3 linked regions of the Oryctolagus cuniculus genome follow. The protein of the gene in region 2 binds, or shares a complex with, the protein of the main gene of each other region. Links are inferred from orthologs where the notes say so. Each region holds a gene or a part of one and is shown on either strand. Other genes may lie near its edges.

Region 1 (8,449 bases), on a different chromosome or scaffold from region 2:
TCTTCAATAGTGGCATACAATGACTACAAGCTCACAATGCTAGCTTCCCCAATCAGTTATAAATCCACAGTTAATGCATGGCAAGGATCTATCAAACATTGTGGGCAGCCTTCCAGCATGTAATAGGTTACTGATTCGAAAAAAAATCAGGATCTCTTTACTCACTGTAAATAACTCACAGAGAACTCAACTAATATATTCTTCCATTAAGAGAAACACCGGCTCCATGCCCAAACTAGTTAAGAAGAAGCAAGCAGGTGCAGGCAAGCAGGGGCAGGTGCTGTGGCGCAGCGGGTTAAAGCCACCACCTGCAACGCCAGCATTCCGTATGGGCACTGATTCCAGTCCCAGCTGCTCCACTTCCAATCCAGCTCACTGCTAATGCACCTGGGAAAGAAGCAGGGGATGGGCCACGTGCTTGGGTCCCTGTCACCAACATGGGAGACCCAGTTGAAGCGCCTGGCTCCTGGCCCAGTCCTGGCCATTGCAGCCATTTGGAGAGTGAACTAGCAGATAGAAGAGCTCTCTCTCTCTTTCTGTAACTCTAACTTTCAGATAAATAAATAAATCTTTAAAAAAATAAAATAAAAAGCTTTGGGGTAGTGCTGTCGTGCAGCATGTAAAGCTGCTACCTGTGACACCAGCATCCCATACAGGCGCTGGTTCGAGTCCCAGCTGCTCTACTTCTGGTCCGGCTCCCTGCTAATGGCCTGGGAAAAGCAACAGAAGATGATGCAAACATCTGGGCCCCTGCCGCCCATGTGGGAGACCCAGGTGAAACTCCCGGCTTCAGCCTGGCCCAGCACTGGCTGTTGCCACCATCTAGGGGTGAAAGACCTTTCTCTCTGCCTCTCCTCTCTGGAACTGTGGCTTTCAAATACATAAAGATATCTTCTAAAAAAAATAAACATTACCTTATGTGATGATGAACTTCTCTTGGAGGATACATTTGGTTTCACTACTAAATATAACACTAGATTGACAGCAGTTACAGAAACAGAGCAGATGCCCAACCACGTCAGGTGGGTCTCCAATATCGAGAAACTTTCCAAAAAGAATGATGGAACAAAGGTGCTCAGGATAACAGAAAGCACGCATAAAAGATGGGCATAAAATAGTCTCCTGATATCAGTATTTTTCATGGTGCTTCCTTGGGTGACTATATAATGAAAAACAAGAAAAGAAAAATTACATGTCATGACTTCTTCCCATTTTCAACATTTCAATCTCTAAAAATCAGCCATACACAAAGTCAGTTTTCTGGGGGCACTGTATTGGTTCAAAACACAAGAAGATATATACATGTAAATGTACATGTAAGCTTAACATTTTAATTTTTTTAATACGGTACAAACATTTCAGAGACTAAAAGGGACCCTTTTACTCATTTCTTAAATATGTGTGGCTGGTTTCTGCCAAGAGCCACATACTAGGACCAGGTAAGCCACCCATTTTGAAATCAAAGGTGAAATCCACTGCATGGATTAAATGATCTGCCTCTGTTGGAAATGCAACCTATGCTTTCTAGAAACCTCACGAATACACTTTGGCTAAAATGTTGGTGTCCCTCCTCATCTAACATCGCGTTTCACATCTAGTAAATGCCAAGGACACACTGGAATATTCAAGTGGCAGCCTAGGCAACCAAAGAACTCAAAGAGCATTACCCTAAACTAAGGGATCCCTAGACTCTAGCATTTCCAAAATGACTAGGTCTGTTACAGGTGCTAGATTCCAATCAAGAATAAAACATGAATGGAGGCAGAAAAAATTTTACTGTCTCATGTATTTAGTTACCTGAGAGCTTATGCATTGTATTGGCAGTGTGGAGTACAGACTTTATTAAATAGTCAACGTGTTACACTGTGAATATTCCACCAAACAGAAACAGCCCTAAAAAATACATAAAAGCATATGTGGGTGGGGAGAGGATGGAGCTCACTGGCGAATAGCTCTTATTTGATTCCCGCGGTCATTTATCAAAGGCAAGTAGTTTACTGATTAAACAAGAAAAACAAGTCAGGAGACTTGTTCCAAGCTCCCCAGCGCTACAGACATAAAGGGACACACGAGGGATCCGGTAGAGAACGGGCGACAAGCAGGGACAAAGTTTCTCAGACTCTCAGCTGCCTGCGGGTCGGGTAGGGGGAACAGAAATCCATTCTCTCAACAGATCCCCCTTACTTTCTCTGGGCCACCCTCGGAATCCCAGCAGCAGAAGCCACACTCCAGCGCCTGCTCAAAGAACGAAGGAACCCGGGCAGGTGAAGCGCCTGCCCTTCTCGGCGGGCCCACGAGGACACCTGCCGGGCGCGCCTTCGCGGGGCCACCGCCACGGCGCCGGCGATCTCGGCCCGCCCACGCCGGCCAGCAGGGCGCCGGCGAGCCCTCCCGGGGCAGCCGCCGCCCGGGTCGCGGACTTCATCCGCAGCCCCACCCCACACCGGGTCACTGGGGCTCGGCCCGTCAGCCGGCGAAAGCTGAGGGACGCGGGCAGGAACGCGCCTGAGAAAGAGGAGCGGTCCAGCAGGGGAGCCCCTGGGTCACGCGGAAGGAGGCCCTCCGAGGGCCGGCGGGGGCGCGCAAGCTCGCGACCACTCGGGCAGTTGGCGGAGGCGCCTTCCACACCTCCCAGAGGAGAACGCAGCCAACGGGGCTTACCTAACTCTCCCGCCCGCGAAGGGAAAGGGAACTACTGCCTCCCACCATCAAGGCACAACGGGCTGCCCCAGCCCACGCGCAGGCGCAAGCGCGCGGGGCGGAGACCCACGGTCGCACAGCCAATCGCAGAAGGGGATGGGCGGACAAACGAGGCAGCCCCGCCTACCCGCTGGCGTTCATGCCTCCCGCGGCTTTCCAGGCGTAGGATTGGCGGGAGCGGAGGATTAGGGGCCGGAAGTAGATTGACGTAGCCCGGAAGGAAAATTCTTCCCAGGCTGTAGTGTTGATGTTTTCAAGCTGCGGCTGATTCTGGGGCGAGGAGGGCGAATCGTCGGCGGAAAGATGGTGTGCGAAAAATGTGAGTTAAGGGGCCGCTTGTGTGGGGAGAGGAGGCTGGGAGAACTTACTCGGACTCTCCTGGGAACTTGGTTTTTCCTTTTCCCACAGGTCTCTAAGTCTAGCCTGTGTTCTCCCACCCTTGCCCTGTGACCCTTCCTGCCCCTCATCGACTGTGTAATCCCGTATATTTTGTCATCAGAATGGCCTTAGTTCTGCACCTTTTTGCCCATTGCCGTCGCCGCCTTCTGGCTCTCGCCTCATCAGTTACGGCTTCTCGACCGCCTCCGTCAGGCTTAAAATGGACCTTAAAAGTCATTTCTGTAGCGTGTGGAGTTGCGAGATCTAGCAATTCCAGACCTCCAATTGAATTTTAATTTAAGATAAACAACGAATACTTTTTTTTAGTGCTGTAAGTATGCCCCATTCGGTTATTTAGGACGTGCCTTACTAAATTGGCTTCGTTGCTTATTCTGAATGCATCCCATCCTATGAAAGAAACAGTATCTGGGTGGGGGAGGCTGGAGACCCCCACGACCTACGAAGAAGTCTCTGCAAGGAGGCATTGCTGGCTTGAGGAAAGTATTTTCCTCTGTGGTTGCCACCCAGTGTTTTTAATTCAAACTCTTAAGATTTGTAGAAAATACACCCTGTGGACCTACCAAGCTGTTTATGTGTTTAAAAGCAGCTGTCAAGTTCCCAAATCCTCTCCCTCTGGCTCTTCTGTGACAAGAGTTCCACTCCTCTTAATCCTGATTATGGTCTAATGAACATGACCTGTGGGCATCCCCGTGGTAGATGGATACAGTCTGGACACACAGACCCATGGCAAAGCTGCGTGGTGTTCCCAGATTTCCCATCTGAAAATGAGAACGCAACATAAGCCTTGGGTTTTTTTGAGAATTACATGAAATGACATAGGTAATGCCTGGTACAAAGGTCCCTAGTGTGTCCTCTGTCATAACTCACTACTGCGTGACACAGAATTAAACTCTGCTCCATATGTGGGCCAGAGTGCAACTAATGCCTCCCTCCTTCTGGATACTACACCACATACCATTGTTGCCTTACATTAAGCTTTAAGAAAATAACCATTAAGACGTAATTCACATGCCATGCAATTCATGCACTTTAAGTGTACAATTCACTGGTTTTCAGTATATTCAGAGTTGTGCAGTGTGATCATAGGCTGACCTGTCCATCCCTTCAGAAAGTGCATGATCTTACTTGACACTGACTGTCTGTAACTCTGCTTCATCTTGTACTTGCAGTGGTTTTTGGACTTGTGTGTGTATTTGAGTAAGTTTGAATTAAATATCTTTATATTATGTGCTGGCCCAAATGTCTCATCTCTTAGGTGTGGTTCTTAAATCTCTAACTTTGGCCTCCCATGTAATTTGTGTTAGTCTGTCACTTGGGATGCTTGTATCCCAGATTAGAGTGTCTGGGTTTTGCATCCTTGGATGTGAGTCCCAGTTCCACTCCCAACCAGTGAATGGGAAACCACCTGCCTCCCCAACCTGCATTTCAAACAAATAAAATAAAATTTTTTTAAAAAAAATCTTGAATCTCAGTTCACTAGCCTCTACCCCAGCATTAACAGGCTCCCACTGTAATATGACTGTTGATGGCATTGGGAGCCTTGGCACCATGTGGTGTATTTATTAACTAGCAAGTTATAATGCCCCTTTTACTATTTTATCACAACAGGTGAAAAGAAACTTGGCACTGTTATCACTCCGGATACATGGAAGGATGGTGCAAGAAATACCACAGGTATTTTTTTTCTTTTGGAAAACAGAAATTGAATTAAATACCACCTGTGAATAATATATTTTTACATTTATTTGTAAAGTGAGATGTTGTATTCTCAGAGTATCTTGTCTATAAAGAATATACGGGGTCCCCCAGTGATTTAATGCCTTCTCTCTAGTTCTCCCAGTTACATGCACAGGTTCCTAACATAGTAAGCAGGAGATAGCAAACCTACTAAATATTTTCAAGTGATGAGTGTGTCATAGTGTAGAGTCCGAATTTAATTTCTCCTCTCCTCACCTAGTTTTTATCTTCTTTATAAAAAAAAAATTACTTAAGCTGTTTTCACCAGGAAGGAAACGAAAGTTGAACTGGACTCAGAGTCTGTGACACCAAAGTAGTAACTTCTAGATTTTATAGTGGATGGAGTAAATGTAGACTCACCCCTAAAGTACTGCTTGCTGTCTGAGTAAGAAAACTGCATCTCACATAAACGTCATTGTTTCCCTAATATTTTCTAAGTAGCATCTCAAAAACTTAGCTATTTCACGAGAATTTAAAAATTTTGATATAGGCTATTCTAATGGTGGGAGGTCAAAGGATGAACTTCTAACTGAATTAGTAGGTGTGATGTTAAGTATGTAGAAATAACTTACTGAAATATTTTGATACAGAAAGTGGTGGAAGAAAGCTGAATGAAAATAAAGCTTTGACTTCAAAAAAAGCAAGGTGGGTAAGAGCCTCTGTGGAGCCGTCGTGTAAGTTCCCACTCCTGAGACTAAGCATGCGGGAGTGAATTTACTGTTCATCATTGCATTGTGCTCAAAGCATGAGAGGTCCTGGCAGAGGGAGCCAGGGATCTGGTGTAACCTGCTGGTTAGCACTGTTCCTTCTCACTGTGTCAGCCTCTGGAGATACCAGTGCCACGGTCTCTATAATTGGACCAGAAGACATGAACTAGCAGATGGGGGATCTGGGTCTCAATCTTTCCCTCTCTGCCCCCACCCCCACTTGTCTCTTTGTCTCTTGAGAAGATAAAATGAAAAATCCAGAGACCCCGCCAAAGCCAGCCCATTTCCTTGCTCCCTTCCCCTTCATGGCAGTGTTTTCAGAAGGCTTGTCCAGACACCGTCCATGTCCTTGAGCCTCATTCTTTCCTTCAGCCACTCCAGTCATTCCTTCATCCCCATCACTCACCTGAAACTCTCTTATCAAGGTGGTGAGTTACCTTTCAGATGGATGGCTGCTCTTCTGTTCTTACCTAACCTCTAGTAACTCTGTTTGGCACCCCTTATCCCCTTGGCCTCTGGGGCTCCTCACTGGCTGTTGCTTTTCATTCAGGTACCTTAGAACTTAACCCTAGACTTCCTTTTTCTTATAAATTTATAAAGTCTCCAAAAGTGACTTTAGTGTATTGGATATAAATCCAGGCTGTATATTCATGACTCCCAAATGTATCTCTAGTTCTGACTGCTCCTCTGAGCTCTAGGTGTATATCTGATGGTCGCTTGAGTTATCCAATTTGATGTCTAACAGGTAACTTCCTTCCGTCTTCGGATAGTAGGTGGCGCTACTGTCCAGTCCAGGTATTCAAGCCTGGAAGCCAGCATTCCTCACCGATTGCTCCCTTTCCCCCACTTCCCATACCTAACTCTAAGTTCTTTGAAGCTACCTCCAAAATATAACCTGAATCTACCTACTTCTATCCGTCTCACTACTATTATGCTGTTCCAAACCAGTTATTTCTTTAAAAAAAAAAAGATTTATTTATTTTGAAAGAGTTACAGAAAGAGGGAATGACAGAAAGATCTTTTATCCACTGGTTCGCTTCCCAGATGACCACAATGGCCAGCACTGGGCCAGGCTGAAGCCAGGAACCAGGGGCTTCATCCATGTCTCCCATGTGGGTGGCAGGTGCCCAAACACTTGAGCCATCCTCTGCTGCTTTCGCAGGCCATAGCAGAGAGCTGGATGGGAAGTGGAGCAGCCGGGACACAAATCAGTGTCTATAGAGGATGCTGGCGTCACAAGCAGGGGCTTTACCTCCTATGCCACAAAGCCAGCGCCCCCCAGATCAGTTATTTTTTACTTAGATACTGTAACAGCATTTCTGTCTCCCTGGCTGTCTGGTTTCCTACACCTCACAGTCTCCAGAGTAGTCCTGTAAAAAGGCCATGTAATTCCTTGGCTTAAAACCCTCTTGTGTGTGTGTGTGTTTTTTCACCCCACTTGGAACAAAGTCTAAACACACTTTCGTGTGCTACCAGGTTCTCCATGCTAAGAGCTGTGACGCCTCCTACTGCTCTGATTCCCTGTTGACCACACTGGCCCTCATTCTTCATTTACTGTCATCCCTCTGAAGAGGTCTGTGCACTCCTTCCTAGAGCTCATCCCTCAGAGCTTACTCATCTGGCTCCTTGCTGCACTGGTCTCAGCTGAAATGTCAGCTCCTCAGAGACGGCTCCCTCGCCAGCATCTGAACCAGTTCCTCTCTCCCTCCCCTCCTCTCTGGAACACCTAGCACTGTCGGAATAGCTTGTTCTATTAAATTGACAAGTTCCTTACTTCCTGCTTCTAGAATGTCGGCTCCATGAGAGCAGGGATGCTGTGTTTCATGGTCATCTCTGGTATTTAGAGTGGTAACTGGCACATAATAGGTACTCAGTATACATCTGCTGCATGAACAGTGTTTGTTTTGTGACATCATCCTGAAGATTCAAAATAACAAAAACAAGGCTTTTACTACATATAGTGCCTAGCACATAGTAGGTGCTTATTAAGTAATGTTTATAGACCAGCAGAGCAGATTGAATCTTCAATGCAGTGTCACAGTGTATATTCTTGACTGACTTTAATCATGCTATCTATGATCATTCAGTTTTTTGTTGTTATTTGAACAGATTGTAGGTTTTATACATCCTCAGGTCCTTTTGCTCTCAAACATGCTCAGATATCATTAGAAAGTTGCTGTGATTTTGGGGTACTCTAAGCATCTTGTTTTGGGAAGCATACCACTATATTGCATTGAACCCATGATATTTATAAGGTGCATTGTTACTTTAAGAAAAAAGAAAAGGCTTTGTCAATTAATTGTAATATTTCAAAGATTAATATATTCATTTTAGTATGGTAAAGTATGCTTTTAAGAAAAGGTAGTTTCCAAACATATAGGTCCAAACAAATTGAGTTTATTGGAAGGAAGAATTGTATCTCTCATGGGAGTAAAGTGATTTTCTTTTGGGCTTGGGAAAATTACCCTTTGCAGATGGGCCACTGTACAATACAAGGGAAAATGCCGGGTGTAGGACAATGCTGGTGTTCAGTGTATGAGGGCTTTACAGAAACATCATTTTGTAGTTAGGGAAGAAGTTTTAAATCAGCGTATTGTTACCAATTTCAGGGAGAATATTTCTTTCAAAGTTATTTTGCACTCCAGTCACTGTAAGATGACATTTTTATGTAGTAGAATCTTGTTTACCCAAAGGGATTGCGACAGTTAAATAGTTTATAAGCAGGCAATCCTTTAAAGAGGATATACCTTATTTTATTTTATTTTATTTTATTTTTATTTTTATTTTTTTGACAGGCAGAGTGGACAGTGAGAGAGAGAGACAGAGAGAAAGGTCTTCCTTTGCCGTTGGTTCACCCTCCAATGGCCGCCACGGCCGGTGCGCTGCGGCCGGCGCACCGTGCTGAT
Region 2 (6,426 bases):
TTTCATTTGCAAAACACACATTCAAAGGTCAAATTATTCTAACAATTTCAATTGAAATTAGGGCCATTATACCCTAGGCAACTGCACTTAGGCCGGGACACTGGCTGGGATCTGTAGTTAATACTTTTCCTCTTGTTTTATAGCTGACTGGAAATTTAGAGGAGAAGGACAAGGGTAGTTACTCTCACCCTCCAAGAGCCTCCAACAGGTCCATGAACTGCATTCTATTATGTCACATCCAATCTTCAGCTTTGCATGGTGGGATTGTTAAATTCTGTATAAAGGAGGAAACTGAGACACAGATATTTAAATAATGTTAAGGCATAAAACTAATAACTGGCACAACTAAAAGTCAGTCTAGCATCCTTTGGGATACTGTCCTACTCCATAGTGCTTCTTCCAAAATAGCTAACATCCAATCCACACCATCTGGTATTCATAGAGGCCTTGCTCCATGCCTAGCATGGTGCTAGGTATTGTGGAAGAGGGGGAGGCAGCTCTACCCCAAGGAGTTTGGAATTACTGCTGTTTCCATGTCTTGTCTACGATGCATGTGGCTGAGTATCTCAGGCCATGTCTAACTAACAAATGAACTATCTCTGTCTCCCTGCCCCTATCTATTCTAGATAACTGAGTTCCCTGCTCAATGGACCAGCTTTGTTTCAGAATACAGAAGCTCTACTGGCCAGTGGGGCAGTGAAGTTATAAAGACCCTTTTTCCAGGAACATGAATGACTTCAAGTTTTGTAATACAGAAACAGTCTCACAGAGCAAGTTGGGCAGATGAAAAGAAGGAAGCCATGAAAGCCGGACACAGGTGGCACTTTGTTTTGTTTTAAAGATTTATATTTATTTATTCGAAAGTCAGTAACACACAGAGAGAAGAGAGGCAGAGAAGGGGGAGGGAGGTCTTCCACCCGCTGGTTCACTCTCCAATTGGCCACAATAACTGGAGCTGTGCTAATCTGAAGCCAGGAGTCAGAAGCTTCTACTGGGTCTCCCACGTGGGTGAAGGGGACCAAGGACTTGGGCCAACTTCTACTTCTTTCCCAGGCCATAAGCGAGCTGGATCAGAAATGGAGCAGCTGGGACTCATATCAATGCCCATGTGGGATGTTGGCACAGTAGGCAGCAGCTTTACCCATTATGACACAGTGCCAGCCCCACGGGTGACATCTTTTAAATATTAAGCTAATCCTCTATTTCACTTAAGTTTCTGTGACTGCCATTTCTAATCCTAGCAACTAACAATGCAAGTGTGGGTCATACCATGCTTTGAGGGGCCACAGAACCTCTTAATTCAGAACCAAACCTTTGTGACAGAACTAAACAAAAGGCTTTGAAATTTTTAGCCAGTTCCTGCTATTAGCAGAGCAAGGTATGAGGAAGAAGGTATGAAGTCCCTAAAATATGCCTGCCAGACACTTGAAGTTTACATTGGTCAATGCCTACAAAACTCCCTCAAGACTACTGTTACTGTTGTTTCTGACTGTGGAGCAAAGCCTGAGGACTAATTAACATCAAGTCAAGCATAGCAGTAGATGGCTTAGCATCAACAGTTACAGGTCTTAGTCTTCTTTCATTAAAGTTTATTTTAACTTCTCTTATGTTTTCCTTCTCCATAAAATGGGGAAAATAATCACGCCTACCTTAGAGGGAGTGGTGTCAATTAGATGAATGCAGCACGGGTGCACTTGGTGGTCATTCAATGTTTGCTGTACTAAAGCCACAGGTAAAGCTGGGCTTCGCACCCAGGCCCACCTGGCTTAAAAGCTCTGGCTCTTTCACACAGCATCAGCATTCGAAGGGTATGACGGACCCCTCAGTCATTCCTATACAAGGTACTTTTGCAAAGAGGACACAGGGCAGTCTAGCTAAGTAGGCTATAAATCTGAAGCCGACACGTTTGTGTGTGTTCTGGGACTGAGACAAGTTCTATGATGTTTTACATTAAAAAACTACTTGGGCCAGTGCTGTGGTTAGTGGAGGAAGCTGCCGCCTACAGTACCAGCATCCCATATAGGAGCCGGTTCAAGTCCAAGCTGCTCCACTTCTGATCCAGCTCTCTATGGCCTGGGAAAGCAGCAGAAGATGATTCAAGTGCTTGGGCCCCTGTACCCAAGTTGGAGACCCAGAGGAAGCTCCTGGCTCCGGATTGGCACAGCTCTAGCTGTTGTGGCCATTTGGGGAATGAACCAGCGGATGAAAGACTTTTCTCTGTGCCTCTCTGTAACTCTGCCTTCCAACAAAAAAAGAAAGAAAACCACATGGATAGGAAGAAAGAAATCATGGAAACTAGCTTTTTTCTGATTCTTCCTGAACCTATCAAGCTCAAATAGGAGAAGTTGCAGCTGAGCTTACAGAAACTTCATTTCCCGGAGTTCTGGCTTTTAGTAGAGCTCGGTTGTGTCCCTCTCACCTCTCACCTGGAAGACATGCCTTCCAGGACAACAAATAAAATCCTATTTCCAACTAGGTTTTCCTTTACTTATTTTTGGATTTGGAATGCCATAGGCTTTTTATCTAATGCACGTCGGTGTGAAAACTCTAATAACTTTCAAGAGAAACATGGCAGCTGAATACCAGGAGAAACAAGTGAGCATCATGTGCATCCTAGAAACGCTTACAGAGCTTCTGTCTCTGATCATGGAGTGCCTGCAGAAGGCTGCACCATTTACTGATGGACAATACTCTTCCATACCAACAGGAGGTCCAACATGGAATTCCTTTAATCTTTCTTCACACTCTTAAAAAATGCACAGATAAAATATTATACATTAATTGATCTTAAATCAATGAGAGAAGTGGGGGGGGGAATTAAACGCACAAAGAAACACAAAGCACATAAGTTTTCTTTTGAAAAGAAAGTATGCAACATTTTATAAGCTGCATAAATTACAACAAAAATTTGGAACACAAATTTAGCTATTTAGATTAAAAATATTTATTACAAGCAAAGTTCCTTTTCTCAATTAAAAAGAAAACATGATTGGAAACACTGATAATGGAGACTGGGTTCAAACTATTCCCATGTCCATTATAAAATAAGGTATGAATAAAGGAAAAGGTATTTTGGGATTTAAAATTAGGGAAGTCTACAAATGATTTAGATGACAGGAAAGTGGGGGTGGATAAAAAGAAAAAACTAACCAAAGCCAAGATGATCCTTAACATTTGAGTCTTTAATTAAGCACATAAAACTGTACTACTTAATATATTTCTCCATAAACTTCTTGTGAAATTCAGATCGCAGTGTATCATTTACAAATCTTTTGTCTTTCTTTTGATCATCTACACCTTTTGCACAGTTCTTGAAGACAACATCATCATCCCACCTAAACAGGGAAAAAACATAGAACACCCTATAACGTTTGTATCAGGAAGGCACCACGCGAACTGCAAAGCTTAGTCTTTATACAGAAATATGCTCGACATGCACATCATTTGATGCAGCAATTATACCCAGAAGATTAACGTAATCCTTAATAATCGTGCTTTATTTTAGCAGGAAAGACAATTCTTACTTAGAGAATGTAAAGTTTGCTGTTTCCCCAGTAAAAGAAACTGAGTTATAAAGCAGAAATATACAGAATATACAGGATAATCCTCATTAATATAGATGTCACTAGATGAGAATAACTGATCAATTTACTATAGTTTAGATTATGACATTTTGAGGATATTATATAATCTTCTTTATTAGTTAATTTAGTAATCATACTATAGCAGTAACATTGTGGGGCAAAAGGAACAGGAACTATCAGGTAGAATAACTAAGGTTCTTATATTGACTCACATCTACATAAACCACAGAAAGATAGCACTTAAAGAGCTCAAGGTAGAACTCTGTTTGCATACTTCTGGGTGGATTTTGTACTGCGTAAGTATTAAAAAAAACACCCGTGGGTGGACTATAAAATAGATGTTAGAGAAAATAAGATAAGATTGCATAACATGACCCAGCATATAAGATATAAGCTCAAACAAATGATACGAGTGTAAAATACAAGCCTATTCAAACGTGGTTGCGTGTGTTGATGTATGTATGCCATGAGAAACGGCACAGAAGAAATAAGAAAAGAATGTGGGCATTTTTGAAATATAGCATTAGTGAAGTCATCATTGATACAATACACAGAAACATAAAAGTGTAAACAGATCAACATGACTAGAATATAAGACATGTTTCCATCTACAAACAATTCCATCTGCATCCAAAAAGGAAAAGAAACTGTTTATCCTTACCTTTATATATAATCAGTAAAATCAATATACATTTTTTTCTATGTCCACTCTCTTCCCAACTCTTTGTCCCTCCTCCCCAACATCAAAATTATCATTCCACGCCACTAAATGGTAGCACTCATTTACGTGTCCTGACACCAATATTTGCCCTAAATGATCATGCCTCTCCTCTTGCCACACCAATCTCTTAGTTCTCTGTTTCACTGGCTGTTCCTTCTCTGTCTAGTTTTCTTCCATTCAAAATTCATTTACTGTTTCAGGCAGTGATAGCTAATCATCGACTCAACCTCTGAATACAACACCATGCTCAGTCCTAGGACTCCTCTCTAGCTATACTCATTCTTGAGGTGATCTTTTTTTTTTATTTTATTTTTTTATTTTTTTTTATTTTTGACAGGCAGAGTGGACAGTGAGAGAGAGAGACAGACAGAAAGGTCTTCCTTTGCCGTTGGTTCACCCTCCAATGGCCGCCGCGGCCGGCGCACCACGCTGATCCGATGGCAGGAGCCAGGTGCTTCTCCTGGTCTCCCATGGGGTGCAGGGCCCAAGCACTTGGGCCATCCTCCACTGCACTCCCTGGCCACAGCAGAGAGCTGGCCTGGAAAAGGGGCAACCGGGACAGAATCCGGTGCCCCGACCGGGACTAGAAGGTGGAGGATTAGCCTACTGAGCCGCGGCGCCGGCCTTCTTGAGGTGATCTTACGCAGTGTCAGAACTCCTATAAGCAGACAACTCTGAAATTTATTACCCCAGCTTGGACTGGAATCATATTAAGTTACCTCCTTAACATTTCCTCAGAGATGCACGTATCCTGCCAAACTTACTGTGTCCTAAGTTTGCCACCTCCCCTAACCCCAACCTTAGTCTACATTCTTCACTATCTCTATCCTTTCACAATTGTTTGGGTCAAATAGCTCAGACTCCAGTCTCTGATAAAAATGTCACCTTGTCAGCAAATCCTTCCTTGACTATGCTGCTGCCTCTGCATGGAGGGAGATTTTTACAGCTTTAGAGACCACTGTAAGGACTCAAGTTTTTACTGCAAATGAGTCAAGAAGCCATGGGAGGTTTAGTAGAGGAGACTGTTGCTGTAAACTTCAGTTTAAAAGGATCACGCTTCTGTGTCAAGAAAAATCTGGGAGTGAAGAGGGTGGCGAGTGTGCAGGAGAACAATTAGGGGCACTGCATCACTATGGAAGACGCAGCAATGGAGATGGTGAGAAATAATGGATATAGTTTAAAAGTTAAGCCTCCAGGCCGGCGCCGTGGCTCACTAGGCTAATCCTCCACCTGCCACGCTGGCACACCGGGTTCTAGTCCCGGTCGGGGTGCCGGATTCTGTCCCGGTTGCCCCTCTTCCAGGCCAGCTCTCTGCTATGGCCCGGGAGTGCAGCGGAGGATGGCCCAAGTGTTTGGGCCCTGCACCCACCTGGGAGACCAGGAAAAGCACCTGGCTCCTGCCATCGGATCAGCATGATGCGCTGGCCGCAGTGCGCCGGCTGCGGCGGCCATTGGAGGGTGAACCAATGGCAAAAGGAAGACCTTTCTCTTTGTCTCTCTCTCTCACTGTCCACTCTGCCTGTCAAAAAAAAAAAAAAAAAAAAAAAAAAAGTTAAGCCTCCAAGAGCCTTGATCACTAAGCTTCCTTCACTCAGCACTTCCTATAAAACTTTATTTTTCTGCATATCATCTAAAATACCATAGATAGTACTTTTTGTTTATAGTCTCTTCTCCTTTAACTCTCTACCTCAGCCCTCCAAACACACTGTACACTAAAGAGTTATGATAGCAGGCTGAGAACTGCTCTCCTTAGAAAGGGCTGGCATTTGGAAACCCAGGTTTTAGGAATCTTCTCACCATCACTGTACCTACAATGTATAAATAATGTAGTTTATACTGACCATTTACTTTCCTTTGTGGAGTCTGGATTTTTTTATTAGGTGCAAGGCAGAAGTTGCCCCACATGACAAACTCCAACAAAAATCTTAGAGACTGAATCTCAGCTAGGCTTCCCTGTGCAAAAGCACTGATGTGCTGCTGCATTTCTGTTGTTGAGGGAACAACGTGCTCTGTATGACTTCTCACGGGAGGGACAGAGTCTCAGGAAACAAGCAGATTCCTCCCATTTCTGCCTGTGTCTTTTCCCCTTATGATTCTGTTGTGTATCTTTACTGTATTAGC
Region 3 (8,274 bases), on a different chromosome or scaffold from region 2:
AACCCTGCCCTCTGGACACACTCTTCCCCTCCTTCATACCCTGGCCCAGCGGCTCCTCCCCTGGGCAACCTTCCCTGGCAAACCGGGTCATTCTCATTCCAGGGTGCTCACTGAACTTGGTTCTCAGACCATTTTGCCTTACAATTCTCTCTCTTAAGGCCTAGTTTCTAAAAAATAAATAAATAATAAAATAAAAAAAGCATAGGCATTGACGCCGTGGTACAGTGGGTTAAGTAGTCACTTCAGATGCCAAGGCCTGGCTACTTGGCTTCCGATCCAGTGTCCAGCTAATACACTTGGAAAGCAGCAGAAGATACCCAAGTACTCAAGTCCCTGCTACCCCTTTGGGAGTCTGGATGGAGTTCTATCTCCTGGCTTTGGCCTGGCCCAGTCACGGATGTTGAGGCCATTTTGGGGATGAACCAACAGATGGAAGAACTCTCCCATTCTCACTTTCTTTTTGTCATGCTGCCTTTCAAATAAACAAATGTGTTAAAGAATAAATAAAAAGGCATAGTCAAGATGAAATGCCTGGAAAGGAAAGAGGGTAAGGAGTGCTCCTGCCCCTCCCACCTGCTCTCCTGCCCCATCGCACTAATAGTCACATCAAACTTGATTGAGTTCTTTCGTGTGCCAGGCATCATGCTAGGTGCTTTGCATGTAGCATCTCAAGGAAGCCTCCTCCCCTTCCGAGAGATTCAGCTGAATCGCCGCCTGCGGCAGCCGAGGCCATCAGCCAGGTAGAGGGGAAGCTGCTTGCCCCCGTCTCCAGCGGCAATGCATTCCAGGAGGGCAGGAGCTTCATTTTATAAACTGCTCAATCCTCAGAGCCCAGCTCTGCATCTGGCCTTGAGTAGCTCTCCCACTTAAATACTTAGGGAGGGTCCGGCGCCGTGGCTCACTTGGTTAATCCTCTGCCTGCGGCACCTGCATCCCATATGGGCGCCGGGTTCTAGTCCCAGTGGGTCCTCTTCCAGTCCAGCTCTCTGCTGCGGCCCGGGAAGGCAGTGGAGGAAGGCCCAAGTACTTGGGTACCTGCACCCACATCGGAGACCAGGAAGAAGCACCTGGCTCCTGGCTTCGGATTGGCGTAGTGCCGGCTGTGGCGGCCATTTGGGGGGTGAACCAACGGAAGGAAGCCCTTTCTCTCTGACTCTCTCACTAACTCTATCTGTCAAATAAAAAAAAAAATACTTAGGGAATGAATGAATGATTCACTTTCCAGGTGAGAAGCTGCAATTTAGAGAGACAGAGAAACTTGCCCAAGGGCATACACTAGCTGTCGTGGTAGAACTCGGGCTAGCTCCAGTTAGGGGGGTGCTGGGAGATGTTTAACAACAGACTTTGTAAAAACAACAGCAAACCGTGACCACCCCGATGTGTAGCAGTCACTGGTTCACAGTGTGGAAACACTCCCAAACGTCCTGAAAATAGAGCCGTATTGTGTGAGCCTTCTTACACCAGCTGGCCCTGCATATCATACATTAGAACACAGGGCTGCTCGTGTCCAGGTCTGTTCTGCCTCAGTGAGGAGAAAGGTCACCCGAAGCAAACTCGGTTCAAAGCAGAGTGTACAGACGAGCCTTAAAAAACAAACCAATCACAGAACTGCCTTCCCATGCCTGTGAGCACACAATCCAGTGTCTCCCAAGGCGCACAAGGCCCTGGCCTGGGCTTTGGAGACACACAACCCCCACGATCCTTCTCTCAAACAGCCTTCGCTCCAGGACACAGAGGCTGACGGACAAGAACCAAGCAGCCAAACGTTGAGTACAAAATTACAGACTGAGACACAGACCGTGGAACAGGCCCCAGGGAGGATAGGGACCGGGGAGCCGCTGCCACTTGGAGTGTGGTGAGTTGAGGAAGCCCACTCTCAGAAGGCGACACTTGGTATCAGATGGACCAGTGAGTTGGATGAGGCGTGGCGCTACCAGCCAGGCAGAAGAGAGGATTTGAAGAATGAAATGAATTTCTGTGCAGCTTGAGACAGTGGGATGGGATTATAGATATGAATGTGAAGGGCAGGGGCTTATGGGGAGGTTTAATTCCCTGGGTGGAGTCTGGAAGACAGAGTCTCAGAAGATGAGATGCACTCTTTGATTGTCTTCCAGTGACGGGCAGTTTCTCCTCCAGAAAACCCGTCTGCACCACTTGGATCAGCTCCCAGCGGCCTTGCCTGGATGATCAGAAGCTTGGGAGGAATCCACGACCACCCCCAGGTGCGGTGGCAGTCCTGGCTGTAGGCCCTGGCCCCTCACCTTTGGAGCTAGCCCTGCCCATCGGAAATACACATGAGACCCACAGATGTAAAAATCTTGCAGCCACGTTGAAGGAGTCAAAAGATACGAGAGAGATTAATTTTCTCATCTATTTTATTTGGCCCGAACATTTCGACGTGTCATCAGTCTAAGTCTTGGAAACCCCGTGTGCATTCTGGCTGGATTTCAAGCGCGCGATAGCTACTCTGTGGCTGCGTGGAACATGGTGCTGGCCTATGCCGTTCTGAGCCTCAGTTTCCTTACCTGGATGAAATCGCCTGGACCACCGCAGGGCTTGTGAGAGCACACGTGAGGCCACACCACCCCGCCCTACACAGAGAGGGAGCGCATTAAATCCCGGCTCCCGCCGCCCCTTCTCTCCCCACGCCTCCCTCCTCCAAGTCTCCGCCCCCTTCCCCGCCCCTTTCAGGCTCCAGGCGGAAGCCGTACGGTCACCACTGCGGCGCGCTTTACGGTAGCGCTGCCTTTTTCCGCAGTGTGGCTGCTCGCCTGCCGCACGCACTTTTACCCTATTGGCTCTGCGGGGCCTGGCACAGGGCGCTTTTCGGCAGTGTGGCTGGAAGCGCTGCCGAGCGGCCCGCGGTGTGGGTTTGAGTGGAGGGAACGAGCGGATCGGCTGTTGCCTGGACGGGGAACTATGGACGTGGGCGAACTTCTGAGCTACCAGGTATGAGGGACTGGGGAGACCGGGAGACTGCTCCTCACCGGGTCGGAGATCGCAGGGCCAGAGTGCCTTGGTCTCACCTCGTCTCATCTCCTTCCGGGCCCCCTCGCTTCTGACCTCATCTCACTTCACTCCTGCAAACTTCGCTAGTCCCTTCCTATGCCTGCTCCGGGCCTGAGCCCCTTTGCCTACTCGCACCCCATCCAGAGGTCTGGTTCCCATCGTCCTCTCCCAGCGGCCGCCACCGCCGAGTCGTTGAGTTTGTGCCGCTAGCCTCAGTTTTCTTATCTGCATAGTGGAGACGGTTTCAGCTACTTAGTAGAGTTGTTTGAGGTCTGTGTCAGCTGCTGAGCGTGCAAAGCTGTGCCCGAGTTGGCCGCCCTTGCTGGGAGATGCTCGTAATTCCAGCTTGGGCTGGGCCCCTGGGAAGCAGGAAGGCTCCCTTGTTGGGGTACTTGTGGGAAAACGGGAGGCCGGGCCGAGGTCCCTGAGCAGGTGAGAGCCGGGGTCGGAGCGCAGGTATCCTGACTTCAACCTCGGGATTCATCGCTTCTCTGATTGCCTGAGAGGCTCCGCGTGGGAGGCCGCAGAACCGCCCTGCCCGTCCGGGGTCGGTAGCCGCACGCCCTCCCGACCCCTGACGTGTGGCCAGTCAGAGCTGAGGGGTACTGTGAGTATGAGATCACACTGGGTTCCGAAGACTCAGCGAGAAAAAAGGAGTGTTTTTATAGGATTTTGTGATCACGCTGAGTCTAGCAACCACACTGATTATCGATCATATTGATTAAGTGATCCTATTTTGGATAATGGGTGAAATAAAATACATTTAAAACCAATTTTACTTGTTTCTGTTGACTTTCTAAAAGATGTATTTATTTTTTACTTGAAAGACTGAGCAACAGAATGAAAATGGGAGAGGGAGAGGGAGATAGAGATCTCTGTCTGCTGGTTCACTCCCCAAATGGCAGCAACAAGCTACATCTGGGCCAGGCTGAAGCCAGAAGCCAGGAACTCCATCCTGCTACAGGGGCGGCAGGGACCCAGGTACTTGGGCATCTTCTGCTGCCTTCCCAGGCGCATGAGCCGGGAGCTGGATCAGAAGTGGAATGAGTGCTGTGGTATGGGATGCCATCATGGCAGGCAGTGTTTTAACCTGACTTTTCAATGTGGCCACTAGAAAATTCTAAGGGGCTGGCTCTGGCAGAGTGCGTAAAGCTGCCGCCTGCAGTGCTGTGGCATCCCTTATGGGCACCAGTTCAAGTCCCAGTTGTTCCACTTCACGGGGCCGGCGCTGTGGTGTAGCAGGTTAAGCTGCTGCCTGCAGGTCCAGCATCCCATAAGGGCGCCAGTTTGAGACCTGGCTGCTCCACTTCTTATCCAGCTGCCTATACCCACATGGGAGACCCAGGGAGACCCAGATGAAGCTCCTGCCTCCTGCCTTTGGCCTGGCCAACCGTGGCCGTTGGGCCATTTGGGGAATGGACCAAGGGATGGAAGACACCTTTCTCTCTCACTCCCTCCTTCCTTCCCTCTCCCTCTGCCTTTGCCTTTCTGTGACTCTGACTTTCAAATAAATAGATAAATATTTAAAAAAGTAAGTTCCATATACTGTTGGCCATATTTTCAGTAGGCAGCTCTGCAGTCAAGAATAAGTGATTAAGAGCCATGTGTCTGTAGCCCCAGGTTGTGTGGAATATTTGGCCACTAACTGGCTGCTGTAACCTTGAAGAGACTGTTTAACCTTTCTATTCCTTGTTTTCCTCATCTGTGAGTGGGGCCGATGACGGTACCTTTCATAGGGCTGCTGTTGAGAAATGTAGACCAATGCTTGACAAAGTGTAAATGTTCAATAAATTGCTAATTATTTTCATGCCACTGCCTTAGCCAATATACGGAAACGCCACCCTGGGGGTTCCAGACGTCTGGGGAAAGAACTTGTGGAGCACGCGGGGGTATGCGTAACTCAGAGTTCTTTTAGACAATTGAGTAGACTGTGAAGGAAGGAAGGAAGGAAATAGGAGGGTTGTTGAATGAGTGTTCATTCAGGGTTCCAGCAGGAGGTGTGCCTGTTTGGGAGCGCTGGTGTAAGAAGACAGGGTGTGGGGCCAGCCCCGTGGCTCACTTGGTTAATCCTCCACCTGCGGTGCCGGCATCCCATATGGGCGCCGGGTTCTTGTCCCGGTTGGGGCCCGGGTTCTAGTCCTGGTTGCTCCTCTTCCAGTCCAGCTTTCTGCTGTGGCCCCGGAGGGCCGTGGAGGATGGCCCAAGTGCTTGGGCCCCTGCACCTGCATGGGAGACCGGGAAGAAGCACCTGGCTCCTGGCTTCAGATCAGCGCAGCGCTGGCTGTAGCGGCCATTTGGGGAGTGAACCAACAGAAGGAAGACCTTTCTCTCTGTCTCTCTCTCTCTCTCACTGTCTATAACTCTACCTGTCAAATACATAAATAGAAAACAAAAATTGAAAAAAGTTATTAAAAGAAAACAGGGTGCAGATGGGTGCCTCCTCACACAAGGCATCACGTGTAAGAAAAAGGGGTACAGAACAGAGGAGACAGAGTACCAACTCGCAACTAGACCGAATTTATTCAAAGAAAATAAATCCGCAGAGGTCAACCAACTGCCAGTGTACACACAGACTGAACAAGTGGCAGAGGGCCCAGACCACAGCAGGCTGGGCTTTTTTTTTTTTTTTTTTTTTTTTTTTTTTGGACAGGCAGAGTGTACAGTGAGAAAGAGAGACAGAGAGGAAGGTTTTCCTTTTTCCGTTGGTTCACCCACCAGTGGCCGCTGCAGCCAGTGCCCTGCGGCCGGCGCACCATGCTTATCCGAAGCCAGGAGCCAGGTGCTTCTCTTGGTCTCCCATGCGGGTGCAGGGCCCAAGGACTTGGGCCATCCTCCACTGCACGCCCAGGCCACAGCAGAGAGCTGGACAGAATCCGGTGCTCCAACCAGGACTAGAACCCGGTGTGCCGGCGCCTCAGGTGGAGGGTTAGCCTATTGAGCTGTGGCACCGGCCAAGGCTGGGCTTTTTATATCTTAGGTGGGCTGGGGTAGGGTGGGGGGGCAGTGGGGGGGTGAGCGGCTCCATACTGGTTCTTTGCAGGGGATGGATGGGGTGGGGAGCAATACAGGATGTGAGACTGAAGTGGTCTCTTGAAAGAAGGGAAGGGTAACGAGAACCTAACGTGGCTGAGGCTTCGTCCTTGTTCCATCAGACCTGACTCTGAGTACAGATAAGGAGAGGGGGCGCTGGTTTCTTTCTGGCTACTTCCTGCTGATCCGGAGCGTTGTTGCAGGACGGGGTATCCACACTCTGGATCGGGTTGATTGAAGAAGAGCAGTCTTGTGTTGTTCCTGTGTGATGACTTGGGGTCTAGCAGTCATTCGCTCCTGTACGGCCTTTTGAAATATGTTAATTATACATGGTAGGGGTGGGAGCACTATGATTATGAGGATAAAAGGAGAAATTAGAAACATAGCCCGTGGTGGAAAGATGACCAACATGAGGACAAAGGGGAAAACAGGAAAGCGAGAGTCCTGTCCGTATGCCTGGCTGCCAAAGAGAAAGGACGCTCCTGGTTTGTTTCGTGTGTACGTGCTGGCAAGGAGCTGTGGGATGGAGTTCGTCTGGCCTGCTTCTAGTCCTGGGCTCCCTGGTTTCCTCCCTCTGCTTGTGGAAACCCTGGCTGCCTTCAGGGGCTTGGGCAAGGACTGAAGCTGAGTTCTTCCAGCTGAGCATGGGCGGAGTAGGGACCTCAGGCTTCCAGCAGAAGGTGGCCGCGTAAGGGGGCTGCGGCACTAGCTCGCAGAAACTGTCTCCATTGGAGCTTTCATGTGCATGACCATCTAGAATTTTATTGCCTGGAGCAAACAAATCTCACAAGCAGGTTAAATGCACAGGGTCTAAAACTGAGGACAGAGTCCTTATTAGAGGAGCTAGGAAGGGTCCAGAAGGGGGTTTTCCCACTGAGAGGCAGACAGAAACTGACAGGAAGGGCTGGAAAATAATCCGGTGTAGGCCGGTGCCGCGGCTCACTAGGCTAATCCTCCGCCTTGCGGCGCCGGCACACCGAGTTCTAGTCCCGGTCGGGGCGCCGGATTCTGTCCCGGTTGCCCCTCTCCCAGGCCAGCTCTCTGCTGTGTTCCGGGAGTGCGATGGAGGATGGCCCAGGTGCTTGGGCCCTGCACCCCATGGGAGACCAGGAGAAGTACCTGGCTCCTGCCATCGGATCAGCGCGGTACGCCGGCCGCAGCACACCAGCCGCAGCGGCCATTGGAGGGTGAACCAACGGCAAAGGAAGACCTTTCTCTCTGTCTCTCTCTCTCTCTCTCTCACTGTCCACTCTGCCTGTCAAAAAAAAAAAAAAAAAAAAAAAATGGAACAGCCAGGACATGAACTGACTCCCATATGTGATGCTGGCATTGCAGGCTATGGCTTAATGCCACAGCTGGCCCCAGAATAAATTTTTTAACAAGATTTAGTTACTTATTTGAAAGGCAGAGTTAGAGAGACAGAGAGAGATCTTCCATTTGCTGCTTTACTCCTCAAGTGGCTGCAATGGCCAGGGCTTATCCAGGCTGAAGCCAGGAGCCCGTCATTCCTCCTGTCTCTTGTGTGGGTGGGAGCACTTCGGCCGTCATCTGCTGCTTTCCCAGGTACTCCAGCAGGGAGCTGGGTCAGAAGCAGAGCAGCTGGGACCTGAACCAGCACTCTGATATGGGATGTTGGTGTCTCAAGCAGTAGCTTAACCCACTGGGCCACAATGCCAGCCCCCATACATAGAATGTTGATACCAGGAGAAGTTCATTCACTTGCTAAACAAATAGTTGTTGAACACCTGCTGTGTGCAAGGTGCTGGGTATACAGCACTGAATAAGACAAGATTCAAAACAAAAACTTTTTACAAATTATTTTCGTTTTATTTGAAAGGCAGAGAGATGGAGCGAGACAGGCAAAAATATTCCATCTGTGGTTCATTCCTCAAATACCCACAATAGCCAGGGCTGGGCCAGGCTGAAGCCAGGAGCCTGAAACTCCATTTAGGTCTCTCGCATGGTGTCAGGGGCCCAGGTACTTCAACCATCCCCTGCTGCCTCCCAGGGTGCACGTTAGCAGGAAGTGGGAATTAGAAATGAAATGGGAACTCAGACCCAGGCACTCTGGAATGTGGGCATCCCAAGTGACTTCTTTTTCTTAAAAAATTAATTAATTAATTATTTTAAAAATACAAATTTCATAAGTACAACTTTAGGAATGTAGTTATTCTTCCTGTCCACCATGCCTGCCCTCCCAACCACACTCTCACCCCTCCTCCTCCTCCCTCTTTC

Evidence for each region. Proteins that work in one complex are often made in the same cells at the same time.
Region 1: CWC15 (region 2) and CRIPT share a complex: the UniProt entries of both Homo sapiens proteins name them as parts of the minor spliceosome. The link is inferred for Oryctolagus cuniculus from reciprocal best matches to the Homo sapiens genes CWC15 and CRIPT.
Region 3: CWC15 (region 2) and CTNNBL1 share a complex: the UniProt entries of both Homo sapiens proteins name them as parts of the PRP19-CDC5L splicing complex. The link is inferred for Oryctolagus cuniculus from reciprocal best matches to the Homo sapiens genes CWC15 and CTNNBL1.

The regions. Positions count from the first base shown.
Region 1 is NC_091433.1:156,144,076-156,152,524, reverse strand, and holds the start of CRIPT (cysteine-rich PDZ-binding protein), read left to right. Parts: upstream 1-2,866; 5' UTR 2,867-3,003; coding exon 3,004-3,019; intron 3,020-4,707; coding exon 4,708-4,773; intron 4,774-5,426; coding exon 5,427-5,481; intron 5,482-8,449. Other genes in the region: PIGF (phosphatidylinositol-glycan biosynthesis class F protein), read right to left, coding at 915-1,159, 1,798-1,813. UniProt on the Homo sapiens protein: As a component of the minor spliceosome, involved in the splicing of U12-type introns in pre-mRNAs. Involved in the cytoskeletal anchoring of DLG4 in excitatory synapses.
Region 2 is NC_091432.1:86,188,685-86,195,110, forward strand, and holds the end of CWC15 (spliceosome-associated protein CWC15 homolog), read right to left. Parts: intron 3,336-6,426; coding exon 3,206-3,335; 3' UTR 3,162-3,205; downstream 1-3,161. UniProt on the Homo sapiens protein: Involved in pre-mRNA splicing as component of the spliceosome. Component of the PRP19-CDC5L complex that forms an integral part of the spliceosome and is required for activating pre-mRNA splicing.
Region 3 is NC_091442.1:20,957,974-20,966,247, reverse strand, and holds the start of CTNNBL1 (beta-catenin-like protein 1), read left to right. Parts: upstream 1-2,691; 5' UTR 2,692-2,919; coding exon 2,920-2,949; intron 2,950-8,274. UniProt on the Homo sapiens protein: Component of the PRP19-CDC5L complex that forms an integral part of the spliceosome and is required for activating pre-mRNA splicing.